Caenorhabditis elegans: one gene and its partners. The protein of the gene in region 2 purifies or fractionates together with the protein of the main gene of each other region. This does not show direct contact. Each region holds a gene or a part of one and is shown on either strand. Other genes may lie near its edges. The genes, in order: C30G7.3, erfa-3, rml-5 and cyn-6.

The links.
Region 1: the proteins of erfa-3 (region 2) and C30G7.3 fractionate together in Caenorhabditis elegans (co-fractionation; one large-scale study listed by BioGRID). This does not show direct contact.
Region 3: the proteins of erfa-3 (region 2) and rml-5 fractionate together in Caenorhabditis elegans (co-fractionation; one large-scale study listed by BioGRID). This does not show direct contact.
Region 4: the proteins of erfa-3 (region 2) and cyn-6 fractionate together in Caenorhabditis elegans (co-fractionation; one large-scale study listed by BioGRID). This does not show direct contact.

What each region holds. Positions count from the first base shown.
Region 1 is NC_003283.11:14,941,602-14,947,424, forward strand, and holds C30G7.3 (MADF domain-containing protein), read right to left. Parts: upstream 4,104-5,823; 5' UTR 4,005-4,103; coding exon 3,984-4,004; intron 3,920-3,983; coding exon 3,853-3,919; intron 2,581-3,852; coding exon 2,483-2,580; intron 2,328-2,482; coding exon 2,208-2,327; intron 1,947-2,207; coding exon 1,795-1,946; intron 1,421-1,794; coding exon 1,102-1,420; intron 1,056-1,101; coding exon 972-1,055; intron 619-971; coding exon 574-618; 3' UTR 529-573; downstream 1-528. Other genes in the region: C30G7.4 (Matrix-remodeling-associated protein 7), read right to left, coding at 5,183-5,521.
Region 2 is NC_003283.11:11,109,547-11,114,735, reverse strand, and holds erfa-3 (Tr-type G domain-containing protein), read left to right. Parts: upstream 1-1,644; 5' UTR 1,645-1,665; coding exon 1,666-1,783; intron 1,784-1,829; coding exon 1,830-1,951; intron 1,952-2,422; coding exon 2,423-2,830; intron 2,831-2,888; coding exon 2,889-3,632; intron 3,633-4,081; coding exon 4,082-4,288; 3' UTR 4,289-4,636; downstream 4,637-5,189. Other genes in the region: math-33 (Ubiquitin carboxyl-terminal hydrolase 7), read right to left, coding at 91-435, 481-692; etfr-1 (LYR motif-containing protein 5), read left to right, coding at 4,991-5,110, 5,188-5,189.
Region 3 is NC_003279.8:1,791,437-1,796,967, forward strand, and holds rml-5 (NAD(P)-binding domain-containing protein), read left to right. Parts: upstream 1-1,817; 5' UTR 1,818-1,823; coding exon 1,824-1,928; intron 1,929-2,355; coding exon 2,356-2,532; intron 2,533-3,185; coding exon 3,186-3,671; intron 3,672-3,914; coding exon 3,915-4,017; intron 4,018-4,624; coding exon 4,625-4,905; 3' UTR 4,906-4,988; downstream 4,989-5,531.
Region 4 is NC_003281.10:771,451-774,690, reverse strand, and holds cyn-6 (Peptidyl-prolyl cis-trans isomerase 6), read right to left. Parts: upstream 1,278-3,240; coding exon 1,080-1,277; intron 1,034-1,079; coding exon 626-1,033; 3' UTR 532-625; downstream 1-531. Other genes in the region: alh-11 (Aldehyde dehydrogenase domain-containing protein), read left to right, coding at 41-117, 168-298; tpst-2 (Putative protein-tyrosine sulfotransferase), read right to left, coding at 1,988-2,198, 2,254-2,462, 2,518-2,712, 2,759-2,885, 3,077-3,114. UniProt on the Caenorhabditis elegans protein: PPIases accelerate the folding of proteins. It catalyzes the cis-trans isomerization of proline imidic peptide bonds in oligopeptides.

The DNA of each region.
Region 1 (5,823 bases), 3.8 Mb from region 2:
TTCAATTTTAAAAACATGGTTTTTTTAAAAATAAATATTATTAATAAGTTCTCTGCAACAAAACAATATAATAGCAAACAACCCTTTTCAGATAAAACGTATTGCTATTTTTCCTGAAAGTTCAGTTTGAAAAAGCGTTTAATTTGTTTGACTCTCTGTTGAATTTCCTATTTTATATATGCTTATTTTTTCTCGAATAAATAAGTATGGCGTCAAAAAATTCGTTTAAATCAAAAACCAATTTTTATCATCATGTCGACGAAATAGCTTGGCTTGGGGACACACAAGGTCTAACAAATAAGAATGAAGCTCATAACAGCGCAAAAAACAAGCCGTTTTGCTTCACTTTGCCGGCTTATGTCACAGGGCTTAGGCTTAGGATTTTTTTTGGTTTAGCCTTAGGCTCATTTTTAGGCTTAGTCTTAGGCACTTAGGCATTATTTCCAGTTATTCGCTTTCCTGAAAATTGTTAAAAATCTACTTGAAAATCCGGGTTGTTAGGTGACTACAAAAAAGGTTTAAAAAATTGGAAATCCAATCAATAAATTCTTTATTCGCAAAAATCGAGGAAAATCAATTGCCGTGGATAATGAAGTGTGCAACTTTTGTGACTGTTCCCTGGAATAATAAAATATTTTTACACGGTTATGGTGTTTGCAAGGCACCAAAATTGCGCAAACAAGTTTTCTATTGCATGGGGAGCACGCTCAAAAAATTTCAGAGCTCTGTGTCTACTAAGAGCAAAGTTAGGGTAACTGCAAGTTTTGACATGCGTCGTGTGTCGCTAGGACTTTCAAACCACCTTAACTTTGCTCAAAATGTGGCTACAGCTCTGAAATTTTCTGTGGTTCATTTTTTTCATCTAATTTGATGTTCTGAATTAAAACGCTAAAGTTTCAAAAATTTCATGAGTTTCGTGTCGCGTCGCGGTCCAGCCATGAAATTTCACACAGAAACTTAAAAGTACGTACTCCTGGATTCGAAGCTTTGACACGACGCTGTCTCATCTGACAATTGAAATCCTTGACGTCATCATCGATTTCTTGAAGCTTCTTCTGCAAAAAAATCAATATTTATTTTCCATATTAGGCAATCACTCACCAAATGAGCGGCGCTCTGTGGATACACGGCTTCCGTCACAAATTGCAAACGTTCCATGTTTTCACAGGCCATCGATAGATGTGCGGCAACTCGTTCTGCACACTTTTCCGCTTCAATTGTGCCGTAAAACGCCGGATTTTGAGCAAGGATGACGTCATCGAGTTCCACGTCATCATCATCTTCAACTGGAACATTCACGTTCAGGTCGTCAATATCATCGTCTTTTGGAACTCGGTTAGCAGAGAAACTATCGATTTTCACCTCATCATTTCGACAATTTGATATGCGAATTTTTTGGTAGGATTTCGGTTGGAGGTGGCTGAAACTAGGAAAATTAGGGCTTCAAATTTAATGATCAAGAATTGCGTCATGGCACGAAAAATACGCCAAGGAGCAATGATGACGTCATCATATTAACAATTACATTGGGAGCGTTCACAAAAAATTTTGAAAGTCTTCGAACAGTGCGAGCAAAGTTACAGTGGTTCAAAACTTTAGTCTGCGTCGCGGTTTTTCTCAATACTTCAAATCTACGTAACTGTTCAAAATCTACGTAACTGTTCAAAATTGTTCAAAATGCTCGTAGAGCTGTGTATTGATTTCTCTGTATTGATTTCTGATGTATGTATGTATACTACTGTTAACGCCTTAACGCAAAACTCGTGCCTTGGCGCGTTTCTAGTGCAAACTCACCACACATCCTGAATGACTTGAGTCGCCGCTTCATTGATAGTCACATGTCTTTTGGTGGTTTTTGTGACTTTTTGCTTTGTCTCGGGCAGTTTTTTCAGTTTCAGGCGGTGTTGGTAGGCGTCGAAGGCGTCGGATGCCGTGCGGTTGTTGTACTGAAAATTTTTTGAATTGAATGTACGTAATAATACACAGCTAGCCACACAAAAAATTTCAAATCAATCCACTGGGAGCAAAGTTACAACTAGTCAAAGCAAACAACCTGCGACGCGGTCGATTAATCTTATAAGAAACTTCAAGGCCTGGTAACACTGCTCAAAATAGTCTTATCGAACTGAAATTTCAGGTATGTCTTTCTGATAGGATGTCCAACAAGCCAACAAAATGATAGAGCCTTGGCGCAATTCTCGACCCACCTTTCTCTTATCAAATGGCTGATAAATCCACGTGGCAAGTGCCTTTGGTTGCTCCGCCGCTGCACGATCCCAGTTCGTGACATATACATTCCTTTTCTTCGGTTTTTCCACAATTTTTTGCTGAAAATAAAAATATATATTGATTTATTGATTTTTAGTCCAAAAAATCAAAAAATCAATACATTTCCGGTCGGAATCTGACGATAGATAGTTGTTAAAAATGGCATTTTGTACAGCGATCAAATTTTGAAATGATTTTTTTCCAATATTCTCACCTTGAGGGGACATTTGACACGTGGCGACACTACGGTGATTTGTTCACGTGAAAATTCCAAAATTGACAGTGATGAGGTGGTGGAGCCGGTGGTGCCGTCTGCATAAAATCGATAATCAAAAAAAAGAACGTGAAAAAATATCGCTTTTTACTTAAAATCAAAAATATTTTCGAAGTATTGATTTTTAGGAATTACAGGGTGGGCCAAAAGTATGGTAACACGTTTGCAGCTCTATAACTTTACTAGTGGAGAGAGTTATTACATCAATTTGTACAAGTTTTGTTCTCCATAAAATACTGACCAGATGAACGTTTTGAATTTTCAAAATATATCCATCCGCATTGCTGCAGGCCTTCAGAACTTTTGAGATCACGATCTTTATGGCACGCAAGTCGGCATTCTGCGGGATTTCTACATTTTTCTTGAGGAATCCATAAAGTGTCTTACAAGTTTTTATAGTTCAAAGAATGCCCTTGGTCTAGAGATTCTTTAAAAACAAAAATCAAAATATTTTCTATCACGGTATTTCTGTCATGGACTGCGGCAGTAGGTTAAGTCTTGAATGGCATAGTCGCCAGAAAGATGGATGTGAGCGGCGAGTAGCAGTATTCAGATAAATTTATTTTAGTATTTTTCGAGACGTTTTGACCTGACTTTCCAGAATTTTTTTAGAAAATTGAGCTCGGATGATTTTGTGGGTCGTTACGCCTTGCGAAACCAAAAAAACTGAGTAAATTTCGCAAAGTTGAATTCATGAAATATACAAAGGTTCTTGCTAGGCGCCAGTGTCGACACAGAACATTTTTATATGCTACAAAAACAATTAAAAACGCTTCTTCACTTCTTTAACTTTCAATTTAACATAAAAATCATACATCTGAAAATTATTGGCGTGCGTGGGAGGTGTGTTTGTGTGGGAAGTGCCGCGTGCCAAATTACCGTTTTTTCGAAAGGGTTCGCCAAATTGTCGAGGTGATAAAGATCGCACCTTATTGGGAAACATTACAAATTTTGAGTCAAATTGAAGGAAATTTATTCAGCTATCAGTATTCGATAGAAGAATGTACGTATGACGTGGCAGTCGCGCGAAAAGCTCATGTAAAAGAGCGCTTCATGTGTTACCATACTTTTGGCCCACCCTGTATGCTATTTTTACCAACAAAAAAATCAATAATTCGAAAATTTTAATTTTAACTCTTTTCTGGAACAAAAATCGATAATTACACGTAGGTGAAAATTTTTGTGTAAAATATAGATTTTACGGAAAAATCGATATTTTCTAAATTTTCAAAATATTTATTTTTGAGAAATTATCGATTTTTGAACAGAAACAACAAAAACTATCAGTTTTTCCCGACTCTCAAACTCACAGCAGACGTAATACGGATTACGACGAGTGCCGGCGGTACAGACGTTGTCCCAGATGTGAGAATTTTTCTGAAAAATATACGGTATCGTGAATTGCGCAAGCAAATGCTGGCGCATTTCTCGTGCACCTCACCTTTGATTGTCTGCAGTTCATTGGAGTAATGTGAATAAGCGGCGAGTAATAAATGTGGTATTGACGAGTATAAAAGTGAGAAATAATTGAAATTTATCGATTTTATCAATCTCACGGATTATCGATTATTGTTGAGAATAACAAAATTCGAAAAGGCCACGTGAAGATTTAATTTCAAAAACAGTTTTATTTAAAAAAATATATCGATAATTATTACATTTTCTTTCTTTTTTTCAAATTGAGATCATGACAATACAAAAATCAATAAATTAATGAGAAAAAATCTATAAGACTCCCGAGTAGAAACCATTTTCCACGACATTAGATTTCAGAGTTACATACTTTCCATCTTCCTGTAAAAATCGATAAATTTTGAATGATCGGTAATCTGCCATTTTCAATTTTTGACAAATCGATAATGTGAAGTTTTAATTTTTTTTTTTTGAAAAGTCGATAATATGAAATTTTAATTTTTGAAAAATTGATAATTTTTTATTAATTTCCGGAAAATCCATCATTTGAAATTTTTCATTTACGAAAAACATTATTTTTTATTCACAAAAGCCAAGAAATCAATTGTCGTGGATAATAAAGTGTGCAACTTTTGTGGCAGTTCCCTAGGTTAATGAAATATTTTAACGCGACTTTGGTGTTTGCACGAGAATAGAGCCAAGACACCAAATTTGAGTCAGATATCATGATAACCAATATGGCTTAATGCTACGAAAATAACTTAAATTATCTTCTAAAAATCTCGGAATTAAGCATTGTTGGTGCAAGACTAATAGAAATAATACGGTATATGTTTTTTAATCTACAGTTGGTCAAATATTTCATTGCGAGGTCAATCTGGGTTGTGATGGTTTAACGTCGAATTGTAACTTTTTTGCTGCCATCCCATCAAATTGAACAAAAAACTTACAGCTTTTTATAATATAGAAACAATTTTGGATGCTATCATGTCATAAATATTATAGTTCTATATTTATCAGTCGGCTTCTATGTAAGAAGCATTTAGAATTTCTTCGTCATTGTGAACAATAGATGATTATTGTCAGCTTTTAATTATTATTTTTGCAATTGGACAAATTTCAAACACATTTTCAGTACATCTACAAAAATTGACAACGGTGAAGTAAACTACGATGTCGCATTGGTTTATTAAATTTCAAAATGATGACTAGAAATGCGAACAGTCATCAAATTACATGGATTTTCACAATATTTGGATTCTCTTCATCAACTTGAACTTCAGCTTCTGACAATGAAATTTCTGATAAAGTATTATTCACCGATTGAACATCTGAGGGTATTGTTATTTCCTCATTTGATACTGGAGAGCATGCAGGTGCGGCTGGTGTCGTTTTTGATGGGTCGGATGTTGAACCATCCTTCAAATCTTTTGCCTTTTGTCTTGAATTCGTTAATATTTTTTTGATAGCTATTGAAATGTGCCCATCCTTGTTGAGGTATAGGAAAATGAGAAAAAGAGCAATTAACATGAAGCCGAAACCAATGATGAAATCAAAAACTGCCATGTTTGAAGTTCTGGAATTCTTTGAAGTAGAAATCATTTGTATCCTATATGTTTTTGAATTGGAAAAAACTTACAGCTTCTGAAAATATAGAATCAATTTTAAATGTCATTTTTGTCATAAATATAATAGCTTTTGTACTTTTCAGACGGCTGCTTCTAGGTGTTAAGAATTCCGAAGTTTTTTTTGTTATCGCAAACAATTGATGATGATTTATTTTGGAAATGTGACTAATAATATTTAATTGTGAAACTTTTTCGTTATTATTTTCCCGATGAAACAAATTATTTGGCGAGAAAAACATT
Region 2 (5,189 bases):
TATGAGTTATAAATTAATTCGCGAACTATTATAAAATTCCCGGTTCCTGTCGTTTTTTTCAATGTCTCCTGATGAGAGTGTTAAACTTACATATAGTTGGCTCCAGTCGGAACATCAGCAGTGAAACGACATCTCAATTTGATAGTGTCATTCACTACGTATCCATCTTTGGGGTTGCACAGGGTGTCATACTGGTCATAATTTGAAAATCCCCAATCAACCTCCGTATTGTGAAATGAATGATGAATCTTTTTCTGAATCGATGGACCATCCGCATTAAGAACTTCCAAAACGGCCGTTCCATAGCATCGCCACATTCCACGTTTCTGCAGCAACTCATCATTGTTGCACTGCAGAAAGAACCCGAAGTTAAAATTGCTGCGGTTGACACGAGAGTTCATCGAATGCCGACTTCCTTGTTGATTTCTGGAACCTCTTGGCTTGTTGAGCAAATGCTCTTATTAATTTTTAAAAGCTTACCTGCAAATGGCTAGAATACGCCAAGGGATGCCACGAACGATAATTGGCTTGGACATAATCCGATTGTCTGAACGAGACATAAACTTCGAAAAGCAGTCAATGTCCAAGGACAAATGGCCTTCTGGCCCGAATGGATCCAAACTTTCATCATAGGATGGTATATCGTGCGTCGGCACAATGAGTAGATCTTCGGGATCCGGCGAGCACTGCATGATCAGACTGACGGGTCACTTTGTCTGCTAGCGTCTTTGCCTCTTTCGTTTATCCGTTCTCTCGCAGCAGCCACACAAGTTAGTGATAAAACAACCAGAGTGATTCCTATAGTCAATCAGCCCAGTGTTTCTGAAAAAATATCGATTTTTGACGCTTCATTTTTTGAAGAAAACATTTATTTATTTTATAGAAAAATAAGAACACAAGCAAAACTATTTGCAAATTAATATAAGAAAACAAGAACGCATTTGTTTGGAAGTATTACATGATGCTTCGCGTGAGAAAAGACACCGGTGAAAAGAGAACAGAAAACAAACGGAATCGAGGAGCCACAAGGAAATTAATATTGATCGATTTTTGACAACAGTCTTATCCTTTTGTGGAATTTGGCTGGATAAGTTCGGGAGAGCGCGTTCAAAAAGCGATGTAAATCGAAAAAAAAAGTAAACATGGTGATATTGAAAAACCTTCGATAATCTGAGAAAGTGAAGGCAACTTCAATTTTCATAGCGGGCACAATTCAAAATAAATTGTTTTTCTGTTATCTTTTCAAAAAATCAATAAAAAAGTCACACGTCAATGAGTTTCGCAAGAGTTTTGGCGCTTATATTTTTGAAATAAATATCACTTCGGCAATGACCCAGAGAGACATGCGGCAGACTTGCGAAAACGCGTGCCGCACATTGCGTTTGGGCTCCTCCCCATTCGTTTGGCAATACTTCTCAAAATGGTGCAACGATCGTTTTTCGCTATTTATTTTTCACTCTGTGACATTCTGAGCACTATTTTTCCAAAAAAATTTCAAAAATACAACTTTAAATTAAATGTCTGACTTAAATATAATTTTTCTGTTTTGCTTGAAACGTTTTAGCTCGTTTTAGGTTCGGTAACTTTTATAAATGTTTTAAATAACACCTGTTATTCATAATTAAAAGTTAAAAGCGATTTCAGAGCTCTCGGCATCGACGCAAAATGTCAGGCTGGAACGTGAACGCCTCGTCGTTTGTGCCAAATGCGAATGCACGACCATTCGTCCCTGGGCAACCATACACGCCTCAACCAGAGCAGGCTGCTCCAGAACCAACAGAAGGTACTTGCCTGTATCGATATCTTAAAAAAACGAAACATTCTTTCAGATTGGGAAGCTCAAGCAGACACATCCCCTGCTGCAGTTCAGCCAGAAGTTGCTGAACCAGTTGCAGTTCAAGAATCTGCGCCTGTTGCACCCGTTTCCGCAACAGAGGCTCCGAAAAAAGAGGTATGAAAGCTGTTATGAGTAGCATTGATACCTGACTTAAAAAATAGTACAAATGAATTATTTTTTCGAGGTTCGGTAATTGTGAAGAATAATTAATGTATACTTCAAAAAAATAAGTTTCAATAAAATTTCAATGAAAGTTGGTATCATACGTTGAACGAATTTTTGAGATATTCATTGATTATTTGTTTAACAGTTATTTACCTCAAGACCTTTCAATTTGTTTTGTTTTTTTGGATTCTACAATCAAATATTTGTTCTATCACTATTTTTATTTTCAAGCTTCTGATACTGTTATCTGTAAGTCTTAAAATGCAAATAATTCAATTTTTGATTAAAAAAAAGAAGAATATTGGGGCACTTCTACTGGAACGATTTTGTATATTTGTATTTTTTAGTAAAGGAAACCCAGTTCATTTCCATTTTAAACACAGTTTTACTATTTTCTAACAGCTCAATTTCAATTTTCAGCCAACCCCAGAAGAAGACCTTGTTGCTCCTCTCGCCAAGAAGTTTCAACGTACCGTATACGTCGACGATGGCACTCACAAAGAACACATTAACATGGTATTTGTCGGGCACGTTGATGCTGGAAAGTCCACCATTGGAGGACAGCTTATGTTCTTAACCGGAATGGTTGACAAGCGGACACTGGAAAAATACGAGAGAGAAGCCAAGGAAAAGGGTCGTGAAAGTTGGTATCTTTCCTGGTGTATGGATACAAACGACGAAGAAAGAGAGAAGGGAAAGACTGTGGAGGTTGGACGTGCCTATTTCGAAACCGAGAAGCGTCATTTCACTATCCTCGATGCACCGGGCCACAAATCTTTTGTGCCAAACATGATTGTTGGAGCCAATCAAGCTGATTTAGCTGTTCTGGTATGTTTCACGATGAAAGCTTTTCTGTTAAGAACTGAAAATATTTTAATCTGTTTAGGTTATCTCCGCACGTCGTGGAGAGTTTGAAACTGGATTTGATCGGGGAGGCCAAACTCGTGAACATTCTATGCTTGTCAAGACTGCAGGAGTTAAGCATCTGGTCATCCTCGTAAACAAGATGGACGATCCAACCGTTAAATGGGAAGAGGAGCGTTTCAAGGAAATCGAAGGAAAACTCACGCCGTTTCTTAGAAAGCTTGGGTTCAATCCAAAGACTGATATCACTTATGTTCCATGTTCGGGGCTAACTGGAGCCTTCATCAAGGATAGACCGACGGGATCCGAAGGAAACTGGTATTCAGGTCCGTGTTTCATCGAATTTATTGATGTGCTTCTCCCATCCTACAAACGTGATTTCAATGGACCTGTCCGGTGCACTGTTGCTGAAAAATATTCTGAAATGGGAACTGTCATTATCGGAAAGATGGAATCGGGATGTGTGCAAAAAGGAGATACACTTGTTGTTATGCCAAACAAACAGCCTGTTCAGGTGCTTCAGATTTGGGCGGATGATGTGGAGACTGAACGTGTCGTCGCTGGAGATAATATCAAATTCAAGCTGAAGGGAATTGAAGAAAACGAATTGCAAGGAGGATTCATTATTTGCTCACCAGATTCTCTTGCTAAAACTGGCCGCGTTTTCGATGCTGAAGTCCTTGTCCTCGAGCACAGATCAATTATTGCATCCGGATATTCATGTGTATTGCATATTCAATCAGCTGTCGAAGAAGTCACTGTGAAGGTATGTCTTTTGAGACCCGAAGAACTCGGGGGATGCCCAATTGGGGGGATTACCAACTCGGGGGATTGGCCCCGCCCACAGAACCGTGGCTTGCAATACGCCCATTTCTGCAACTGCCGCACGGTTATAAAATTATTTTTTCTTGTTATTTCTCGCTCTAATGAGAAAAATACAGGTTTAAAACCGTGCGGCAGTTGCAGAAATGGGCGTATTGCAAGCCACGGTTCTGTGGGCGGGGCCAATCCCCCGAGTTGGTAATCCCCCCAATTGGACAACCCCCGAGTTCTTCGGGTCTCTGTCTTTTAATTTTCTGATTTTTGCCGAGATCCCGAAATTTCAAATCATTTTTCTACTTTCATGTGACATTTTTTTCACTTTTACAAGAAACGTTAAAAATGAGACTGTTGCTTTTCTCGTAAGTATTTTTTCCAAATAAAATACATTTTCAGGGAGTCATTGCCACAATTGACAAGAAAACGGGCGAAAAGAAGCGTGCTAAGTTTGTGAAACAAGACGAGAAGTGCATTATGAGACTAGAAAGTCCTGAACCATTCGTACTCGAGCCATTCAAAGAGTATCCATACCTTGGAAGATTCACCCTCAGAGATGAAGGAAAAACAATCGCTATCGGAAAGGTCCTCAAAGTTGTCGAGTAATTTCATTGATAAATTAGTCATTTCTATTCTAAAAATTGTTTTTTTTTCTGATTTCAGCCGGTCCGTTTTCTGTCCCTCCCACATGTCGCTTTTCACTATTTTTCTTTTAGATTCCACATGTTTCCATTGGGAAGATTGTTGAATCTAATGTTACCAATCCTATTTCTAATAGAAATTACCTGAATTCATTTTCCCTTCCACTATCCATAAAGCAAAATTCTATTCGTATTCCATTTTCCCTTCATATATTATTCAGAATTTAAATCTTTGTTCATTGTTTTCTCTATTTATTCGATTAATTTGATTTGATTCATTCAATATTCATAATATGAATGGGGTGTTTGTTTTAAACTTTGGACTATACTGTAATACGAATAATCAAAAAAGGAAAATAACCTGATGATATACCCACATATGATTCGCCGTTTGTAAAATACTTATGGCCACCAATATTACAGACGCATTTTGTAAATCGCGAATTTCGCTGCGGGACCACTAACATTTTAGCAGTATTTTGGTAATCGCGATTCTCGGTGGTCGCAATTTGCAAAATATTTGCGATTTTGCAAGTATTTTACTATATCGCTGGTGCCTCTCGTAGAAGTGTGCGAACTACATTTCATAAGTATTTTAAAAACCGCGAAACACCTGTGCCTACTCTTTGCTTGAATTGCACAGATTTGATCAGATAATATTTGAGGAATGTCATTGAGAAGCAGAGTAATTGACTTGTACAAAAACTTGTACCATATGGGGAAGGAATACCCTGGTGGATCGAAATGGTTCCACGATCGGCTCAAATTGGCGTTTTCTAAAAATAAAGTAAGCGAACGAAAATAATTTTGATTGAATCGTTGCTGAAATTAGAAATTCTATAACAGAATTCACAATAATTACAGGA
Region 3 (5,531 bases), on a different chromosome or scaffold from region 2:
AATATGCCACGTATCGATTGATTTCTCTATTCTACGTGTATGTGATGGCTCTTTACTCATTGCAAGTTGATGATGACCTCGATGATAAGGATAAGGATAATTAATTTCGAAAAAAAAAAGTTTTCTTTTTTTGAATAAAGCTAATTTTTTACTTTTTTATGAATCAGTACTAAAAAAAATCTGGAAAATTATGGCCCAAATCAAGAAATTTCCAAAAATTAACGTCTCCGGAAACTTGTTTCTCTTGTTAGGCTCCGCCCATTTTTTAGGCCAAAATTTGAATAAAAAATTGTCAAAAAAAATTTGCCGCGAAGATCATTATTTATATATTAAAAAATATTATGAATTGATACTGGTATAGGGTTAGTATGGGGATATGGTCAGTGTACTGTAGTAGTACTGTAGGGGTACTGTATGAGTACTGTAGGATTACTGTAGTTTTGGAAAAATTGACTTTTTGTCTTTTGAAGAGATATTGGTTTGAGGTTAGTAGGGGGTATAGCCGGGGTACTGTAGTAGTACTGTAGGGGGTGCTGTAGGAGTACTGTAGTTTAAGAAAAAATTTAGTTTTTTTTTTTCAAATTCAAATTTAATGGGAAAATTTTTTGGTGGGAATTAAAATCTTCTGTGATAAAATTTTGGCTGAAATTCAAATTTTCTGAGAAAAAAAACAACTTTTTTAGAAAAATCTGGAAACTTCTAGAATTTTCTAAAAATTGAATTATAATTTTTCAGACCAAACTGGCGACTAGAGTGGCGACTAGACTGAAAATTTTTCAGAGCGACTTTTTTGCAGCTCAAAGCTGTGCTCCCACTTGGTTTCAGTCCGTCAATACGGTTTGATCTACAAAAAATGCGGGAATTTTTTTGCCCAAAAAAATGTGACGTCACTCTTAACCATGCAAAATCAGTTGAGAACTCTGCGTCTCTTCTCCCGCATTTTTTGTAGATCTACGTAGATCAAACCGAAATGGGACACTCTGCCACTGATTTTTTTTGCACCAGGGGCCTATTTAGAATGGGGTTTTTTTTCAAACGAATTAGGTTTTATTTAGAAGTCTGGAACTTAGTTAAAATATATTTTATTTGGCCCTTGTAAGTTTAAGTTTTTCAGAATTTTCAGAACTTTTTGAAAGAATTTTGGCGCGCGAAACTTGAATGCTGTGGTTTTTCATGCTACGTGGCTGCAAAACTTCTATTGTCGCAGATAGAGTATACAATCAATGTCCTGGATCTATCTCGATTTCATTCGCATGTCTCTCTGCGGCTCTCATCTACCAATACTCTCTCACTTCTATCTGTTCGTTGCGATCTCTGCGCTGCCGTCCTTGACCGCGATATGTCATACAGAAACTGTATTCATTCTCGACTTTCTATTTTTTTTTGTTTTGGAGAATTTATGTTCATCTTAAAATTAATTTGGTTTTTGAACATATTGAGGAAACGGTTTTTTGAAAAATAATTTGCTTTTTTTAAAAATTTTTTTCCCAAAACACATTTTAAAAAATTAATTTTAAAAAATTTCTTTGACAAGCGACACGCGGTTCTGGCTTCCCTCATAAATTGAAATGGAAGAATTTGCCGAACTAGGCCAGGCCATATCCGGGGTAGATTTACGGCGCGTTGCGTGTCGCGTCGCGGCTTGATTTCAGTTGTAAAACTAAATGTATTCGTTCGTGTGGAGTGCACGACTTTCCCAGTCCGGCAGGCAATTGTCAATGGAGCGGGAAAAATTTAATGAGGAAGGCCAGAACCCCGTGAAGCGACACTCCGTTGCTAGGCGTTGCAGATTTTTTGTTAAACCTTCGAAATTTCAGTGAAAAATGACCGTTTTGATTACCGGCGGGATTTCAAAAATATCTACTCAACTTGCGGAGGCGGTGCTAAAAAACGGAAGAAATGTGGTTCTTCTGCACAATAATGAGGCGGTAAGTGGTGGCCTACAAAATTTTCGAAAATTAATTTTTAATTATCGAGTAGTATAGGATTTTCCAGCTGGCCGAGAAATCCTTGTAATGGCCTTAAAAGTTTAACGTTCCTATTCCGGCAATTGGTAATTTCGGCAAATTTGCCCAAATTTGTCCAAATTGCCGGAATTGCCGGAATTGCATTTTTAGGCTCCTAAATCTACAAAAAGTATGAAATTTTTATTTCCGGCAATTCTGGCGATTGCAGGTTCTCAAATTTTTCAGCAATCGGCAATTTTGGCAATTGCCGGTTTTTTGAATTTTCGGCAATTACCGAAATTGCCGAACAGCGAAAATGGTTCCCATTGAAAATGCTAGAGTGGCCTAGAAATTCTCAGGTGGCCGAGAAATTTCATGATGGCCTAATTATTTCAAATTTCTCTTCCAGATTCCAACAAATCTGATCAATAATCCATCGCTCACACTTATCAATTTATCATCAATCAACGAGGAAGCAATCAAAAATCTAATCGAAAATTACAAAATCCAAACAATTTTCGACGCATCTCTCACCACAACTGATGTGCTCTTGGAGCCAATTCAAGGAGCTAAGAAATTGATTCTGGTAAGGTTTTAGTAAACATGCTCTATTGGCAAACATTGGGTGTACTCCACGTGAAAATAGAGAAATTTCGAATTTCGTAAAGTCAGAAATTAAAAAAAAAATCCAGAAAACTCCTGGGAAGTCAGAAATTATCAGAAAATTTGGAATATTTTTTTGAAAAATAAAATAAAAATTCCAGAAGTCCACGTGGTGTCAGGCTGTCCCATCACGGTTTGATCTACAATAAATGCGGGATTTTTCCCCCAAAAATATGTGACGTCAGCACGTTCTAAACCATCTGCGTCTCTTCTCCCGCATTTTTTGTAGATCTACGTAGATCAAGCCAAAATGAGACACTCTGACACCACCTGAAAGTCCGAAATTTCTAGAAAATGTTGAATGCTTTAAAAAAAATCAGAAAATTCCAGAGGTTTCTTTAAAAAAAAGGTTGAGAAAAATTGAAAAATTTATATCTTTTCTAAAATTCTAAAAAAAATACAAAAAAATATTTTAAAAATAAATCAACATTTCCAAAAATCTTTGAACAATTTAGAAAATTCACGAAATTGCAGAAATTTTCAGAAATTTCAAATTTTTTTGAAAAATTTCCGTAAAAGCACGCGCGCTCAGTTGACAAACCCCTAGAATTAAAAAAAAATCAATATTTTTTTCAGGGAATCACGTCAATCCTCGATGCAATCCGTAAATCCGCATCCCCACCATCTCTGGTTCTCATTAGTGGTGACGAGGTGTACGGTAGGGCGAAGAATCGTGTCGAGACCCAACCTCTAGAGCCGGTCACATTCATCGGCTCAGCTCAAATGTCCGTTGAAGCAATGGCTCACAGCTATGCTGTCAGTTATCGTATTCCAATGGTCATCGGAAGGGTATCCGATGATTTATCGATTTCTGACGCGACACGTGGATTATTGGCAATTGAAAAGTTGGCACAAAGCCAAAAACCAGCGGAGGTCTACAATATTTCGGCTTCTTCAGCTGAAAAAATTCAGAAAGAAACGAATTGGAGCCCGTCTGGCTCTGTAAAGGAACAGGGACCCATCGAAGAAGTTTTTAAGCCAATTTTCTTAGTTTTCGGAGCTAATTCGGAACTGAAAACTCAATTTTTGGAGCTGCTAAAGCTGGAGGGACTGGTTTCCAAGGTTTGATCTCAAATTTTTGTATTACGGTAGCCACAAAAAAACACCATACTTTACGACAATTTGCAGAAAATATCTAAAAATTACGTCTTTTGTATTACGGTAGCCTCAAAAAAAAAAACACCATACTTTACGACAATTTGCTGCTCCAGGGGTAAAACTAAGCGGGAAATTCAAAAAAAGTGTCTAAAATTCGTTTCTAAATTTTTAAAACTCTCAAAAAGTCAAAACTTAACTAATTTCCAGGAATCCACAATCACAAATCTGCAAGAAGCCACTGATAAATCGGTTATCGATGAGATTAACACAATCAATCCATCCCATTTGGTTTATTTCGGAAATGAAACCGGTAAGTGACTTGGTGGCTGAAGACAGTGGCCGCAAAAAGTTTTTAGGCCATGAAATTATATTTTTTGGTCGGAAATGCTTTTCTTTTTACGCTAAAAAAATCAAAAATGCCAAAAAACAATTTTTTTTGGACTTAAAATTTGTCTCAAAATTCAATTTCACGAATCACGGGTTCTGGCCTTTCTCATTGAATTTTTCGCGCTCCATTGACAATCGCCCGCCGGAAAACGTGTGGGAAAGTCGTATACTCCACACGGACAAACACATTTAGTTTTACAACTAAAATCAAGCCGCGACGCGACACGAAACGCGCCGTAAATCTACCCCAGATATGGCCGAGCCAAAATGGCCTAGTTCGGCAAAAACTCTTCCATTTCAATTTATGAGGGAAGCCAGTGGCCGCAAAAAGTTTTTAGGCCACGAAAGAATCTTTTTGGTCGAAATTTATGTCAATTTATGCTTTAAAAAAATTCAAAAATGTCAAAAAAAAAATTTTTTTTGGACTTAAAATTTGTCTCAAAATTCAATCAAAGCTTTTTTCGCTAAAATATTTTTTCACCGAGAAAAAAATTCTGGGCCAAAAAAAAGCTTTTTATTTCAAATTCCAGACTCATTCGAAGGCGACTGCTTCACTCTCCGTACCAATATGGCGACTAATCTCTATTTTCCATGGCTTCTCGCAAGTATTGCCGAAAAGTTCTCCCTACACTTCACCCATTTTGGAAATACTTCTATGAGCCAAGAGTCTTCAGCTCTTGCCGTTAAAGGATACACTGGGAAAATGTTGGAATATTTCGAAAAAACGCTCATAATTGGACAGAAAATCGATAAAAACGTGCTGGAATCGATTAAGGCATGCAAGACTGGAGGACTTAATAATAATATTTAATTATTGAATTTTTGCAAATTATTTTTGAACTTAAAGCATTCCTTTTTCTGCGATTTTTTCAATCAATAAATTTTGAAATTAGTGTTGTACTGGCAAATTGGCAAAATGCCGGAATTGAAAATTTCAGGCAAATCGGCAAACCGGCAATTTGCCGAAATTGGAAATTTCTGGCAAATCGGCAACCCCGCAATTTGCCAGAATTGAAAATTTCCGGAAAATCGGCAAATCGGCAAACCAGCAATTTGCCGGAATTTAAAATTTTCAGCAAATCGGCAAACCGGCAATTTGCCGGAATTGAAAATTTCCGGAAAATCGACAAACCGGCAGATTGCCGGAATTTAAAATTTCCGGCAAATCGGCAAACCGGTGAATAGCCGCAATTTGAAATTTCCGGCAAATCGGCAAAACTGGCAAATTGCCGTAATTTAAAATTTCTGGCAAATTACCAGAATTGAAAATTTACGGCAAATTAACGGAATTGAAAATTTCTGCCAAATCGGCAAACCGGCAATTTACCGGAAATGAAAATTTCCGGCAAATCGACAACCCGGCAAATTGCCGAAAATGACAATTTCCGGCAAATCGGCAAACTGGCAATTTGCCGACTTTCCGAATTTGTGGACAAA
Region 4 (3,240 bases), on a different chromosome or scaffold from region 2:
CCCTATTAAAGCATGTTCAATGAAAATCTCATTATTCCAGAGACCTCTCAAGATCCTATCGAGTATCTGAGCAGTTGAATGCTGGAAACGTCTATGTCAATACCTATAATGATGTTTGTAAGTTGCTCCGAATCCCACTAGATCTAGAAAAGAACCTGTAATTTCAGCGCCACTGGTTCCATTCGGAGGAGTCGGAGAATCAGGATTCGGACGTGAAAACGGAACAGCAGTACTCGAACATTATACTCACCTGAAGTCGGTCTTTGTCAATACCGGAACGTGCCCCAACCCATTCTAATGAGTCTTCAAATGTACAAATCTTTATACTTTACTAGTTAGACGAACGGATCGAGAATAAATTATTGCTTTTAGAAGTGTATTTCAACTTCAGAATTGAAACCAATACTCCACAAAGTTATGATATAGTGTTTTTGGTATTTCGAACATTGGCAAGTCAGGTTGCTCAATTATTAATACTATTACAAGTTCCAAAACGTAGCACATCCTGACAGCGCTGTATAATCAAGTACTGAAACAAAACACGTTTATTAGAATTTTAGAAAGTAATTATAGTACATTCAACAAAAATACACATATTAATTGGAAAACCCGTAGATCATTAGGTTTAATTAACTCCTGCTCTGGCGACAGTGAATGGGTTCTCTACTGGAATATGTCCAGCGTTGGCGATGACAACATCCTCAATTGGCCGATCTCCAGCTCCTTTTGGTGTAGCCTCGATCTCACGAACTACGTCCATTCCTTCCAGGATCTTACCGAACACCACATGCTTTCCATCGAGCCATGAGGTTTTGGCGGTAGTGATGAAAAATTGAGATCCATTGGTATCTTCTCCAGCGTTGGCCATTGACAACCATCCTGGTCCGTAGTGTTGAAGCTTGAAGTTCTCATCTTCAAAGCGCTCGCCGTAGATCGATCGTCCACCGGTTCCGTCGCCACGTGTGAAGTCTCCACCTTGAATCATGAAGTTTTCGATGACACGGTGGAACTTGCTACCAACGTATCCTTCTCCCTGAAAATATTAAAGTCTACAGAATTTAATTAACAAACTGAAATACCTCAGCTCTCTGTGCCAACTCAACGAAATTCTTCACTGTCTTCGGCACGACCTCTCCGAAAAGTCCGATGACGATTTTCCCAACAGGTCTTCCTCCGATCTCCATGTCAAAGAAGACCTTGTCAGTGACACGTGGTCCACGTGCCTCGGCTGACAAAGCCAGAATGGCGAGAACGAAGAAAAGAAGAGCACGGCTCATCTGGAAACTTGTTGAGATTTTGGATGCTCATTTTCATAGTAATATAATTAGAGTAGTATATGGTAAAAGTCGGATTTGACATAAAATATGATTTTTAAAAAAACCTCAAAGTAAGAATTTAGTTTCAAAATTAATCGTTTGAAGTTAAACAAAATTCTAATAATTTAGCCTATCAAAATTTAATCATAAGATTTCTAGTTCCTGATCTTTTTTCCCCTACTTTGTACTTTAAGTACTTAAGTACTAAGTACTAAGTTATAATAAATAAATATTTTATTTATAAATATAATGCATAGTATTTAATTTAACTAACAATGTAAGCAATTTTCTAGAAATCCAACAGCATGTATTTAATTGTAAGTATATTAATTGCAAGTTTTATTTTTCAAAAAATATAGAAGAATGCATTCAAAAATCCTGTTCGAAAAGAAAAAAACGACAAAAGAAAAATCGATACAGCTGCAGGAAGCAGCCGTGTCCGGCGGAATAGTGGACATTTGTGCGTGCGCGCATTCTTTTTTATAGTGTTGCAGAGAGTGTGGAGAATTAGAAAGTTACCTTGACCTCTATCTGAAAACAATGGGAGATAATGATAATGATGTAGGTTAACAGTTGTATCTATAGATAAAAATAAAATAATAACAATCTATGATGTAGGTAACTTTGGACATCTTATTTTCTATAAAAGTTATAGGTTACAGTGCAAAACTTTAAGAATAAAAATTTTTAAATTGGTAAAAATCGTCATCCGCAAATGTGGAATAATCGGGTTTTGAAATCGACGTATCGTATCCAAGAATTCCCAAAAAAGGTGCCACGTCATCAAGTTTTCGTAGAGTTTCTTCACTAAAACAATCAAACCACGAGGTTAAGGCTTTAGTGTTTATCGAGTTTTTAACTTGTGATGCAGAGAATTCTTGACTGCAAAATTAAGAGATAGTTGAAGTTCAAAAGTTTTAATGAAGAAAGCACATACTCGTTTAAATCAACTTCGTCTCCAATTAAATCTTGATGTCTTAGCATTTGCTGGGAAAATGGCAGATCCAGGAAGTTGGTGATACGTAGGATTTCTTCCGCAGGTTTTTGAATCAGTCGTTCATAATATACTTTTATGCATTGCCCTGGCGCATTATTGCATTGAAAAGTCATTTTTCGAAGCTCCTGATTCCACTGAACAAACATTGACTAAATGTTTCAAATTATCTTTAGAAATTCAAGAGTTTCATTAGGGAGACCTTACAATTTCATCAGACGTATTATACCCAGCAACTGGTACTTTTCTTTCTATCATTGAATGAACTACGGCACGAGCATCTCGAATCATCAGAATAAACTTTGCATTCGGGTACAGTCGGCGAATAGTCGGAAGCCACAATGCGGTGTATGGATCCTTGTTGCACAGACGAGGTGCTAGTTCACTGTGCTTCGCGACTATCTGTATGAATTGCAATTAAAGATGAACACGGTGACAAGAGCACTACCTCAGTGATGAATGCTGAAACAGCGTCGTCAAATACTTCCTGAGTAATTCCTGAATTATTGACCCAATCATTCCGCCAGCCTGCTTGCCATGTAAGGAAACTTGGAAGCAGCATGGTTTCACCGCCACTGAAAGTTTGAAGTGAGCAGAAGTAATACGTTTTGTTTTTTCTGAATAAGAAGTATCATATTGTCAAGAAAAAGTCTTGACTTCAGAAAGCCTTGTTTCGACGGAGTTTAAAAGTTTTAAAGGAGAAGAAATTCAAGATCTTTTGGCCAAGCGCAGCATACATCGCATTTTTGAAATTTTCTAAATTTACCATCGAACATCCGGATGTGCATCTAGAATAGCTCTCATCAAAGTAGTCCCACTTCTCGGCACACCACCCACAAAAATCAGCTGCTCCAAATTTGAGAGGAGTCGTCTCGAGTGTCGAGCATCTTGCTCATTGAAGATTAAGCTCTCTTTTGAAAGACTTAGCTG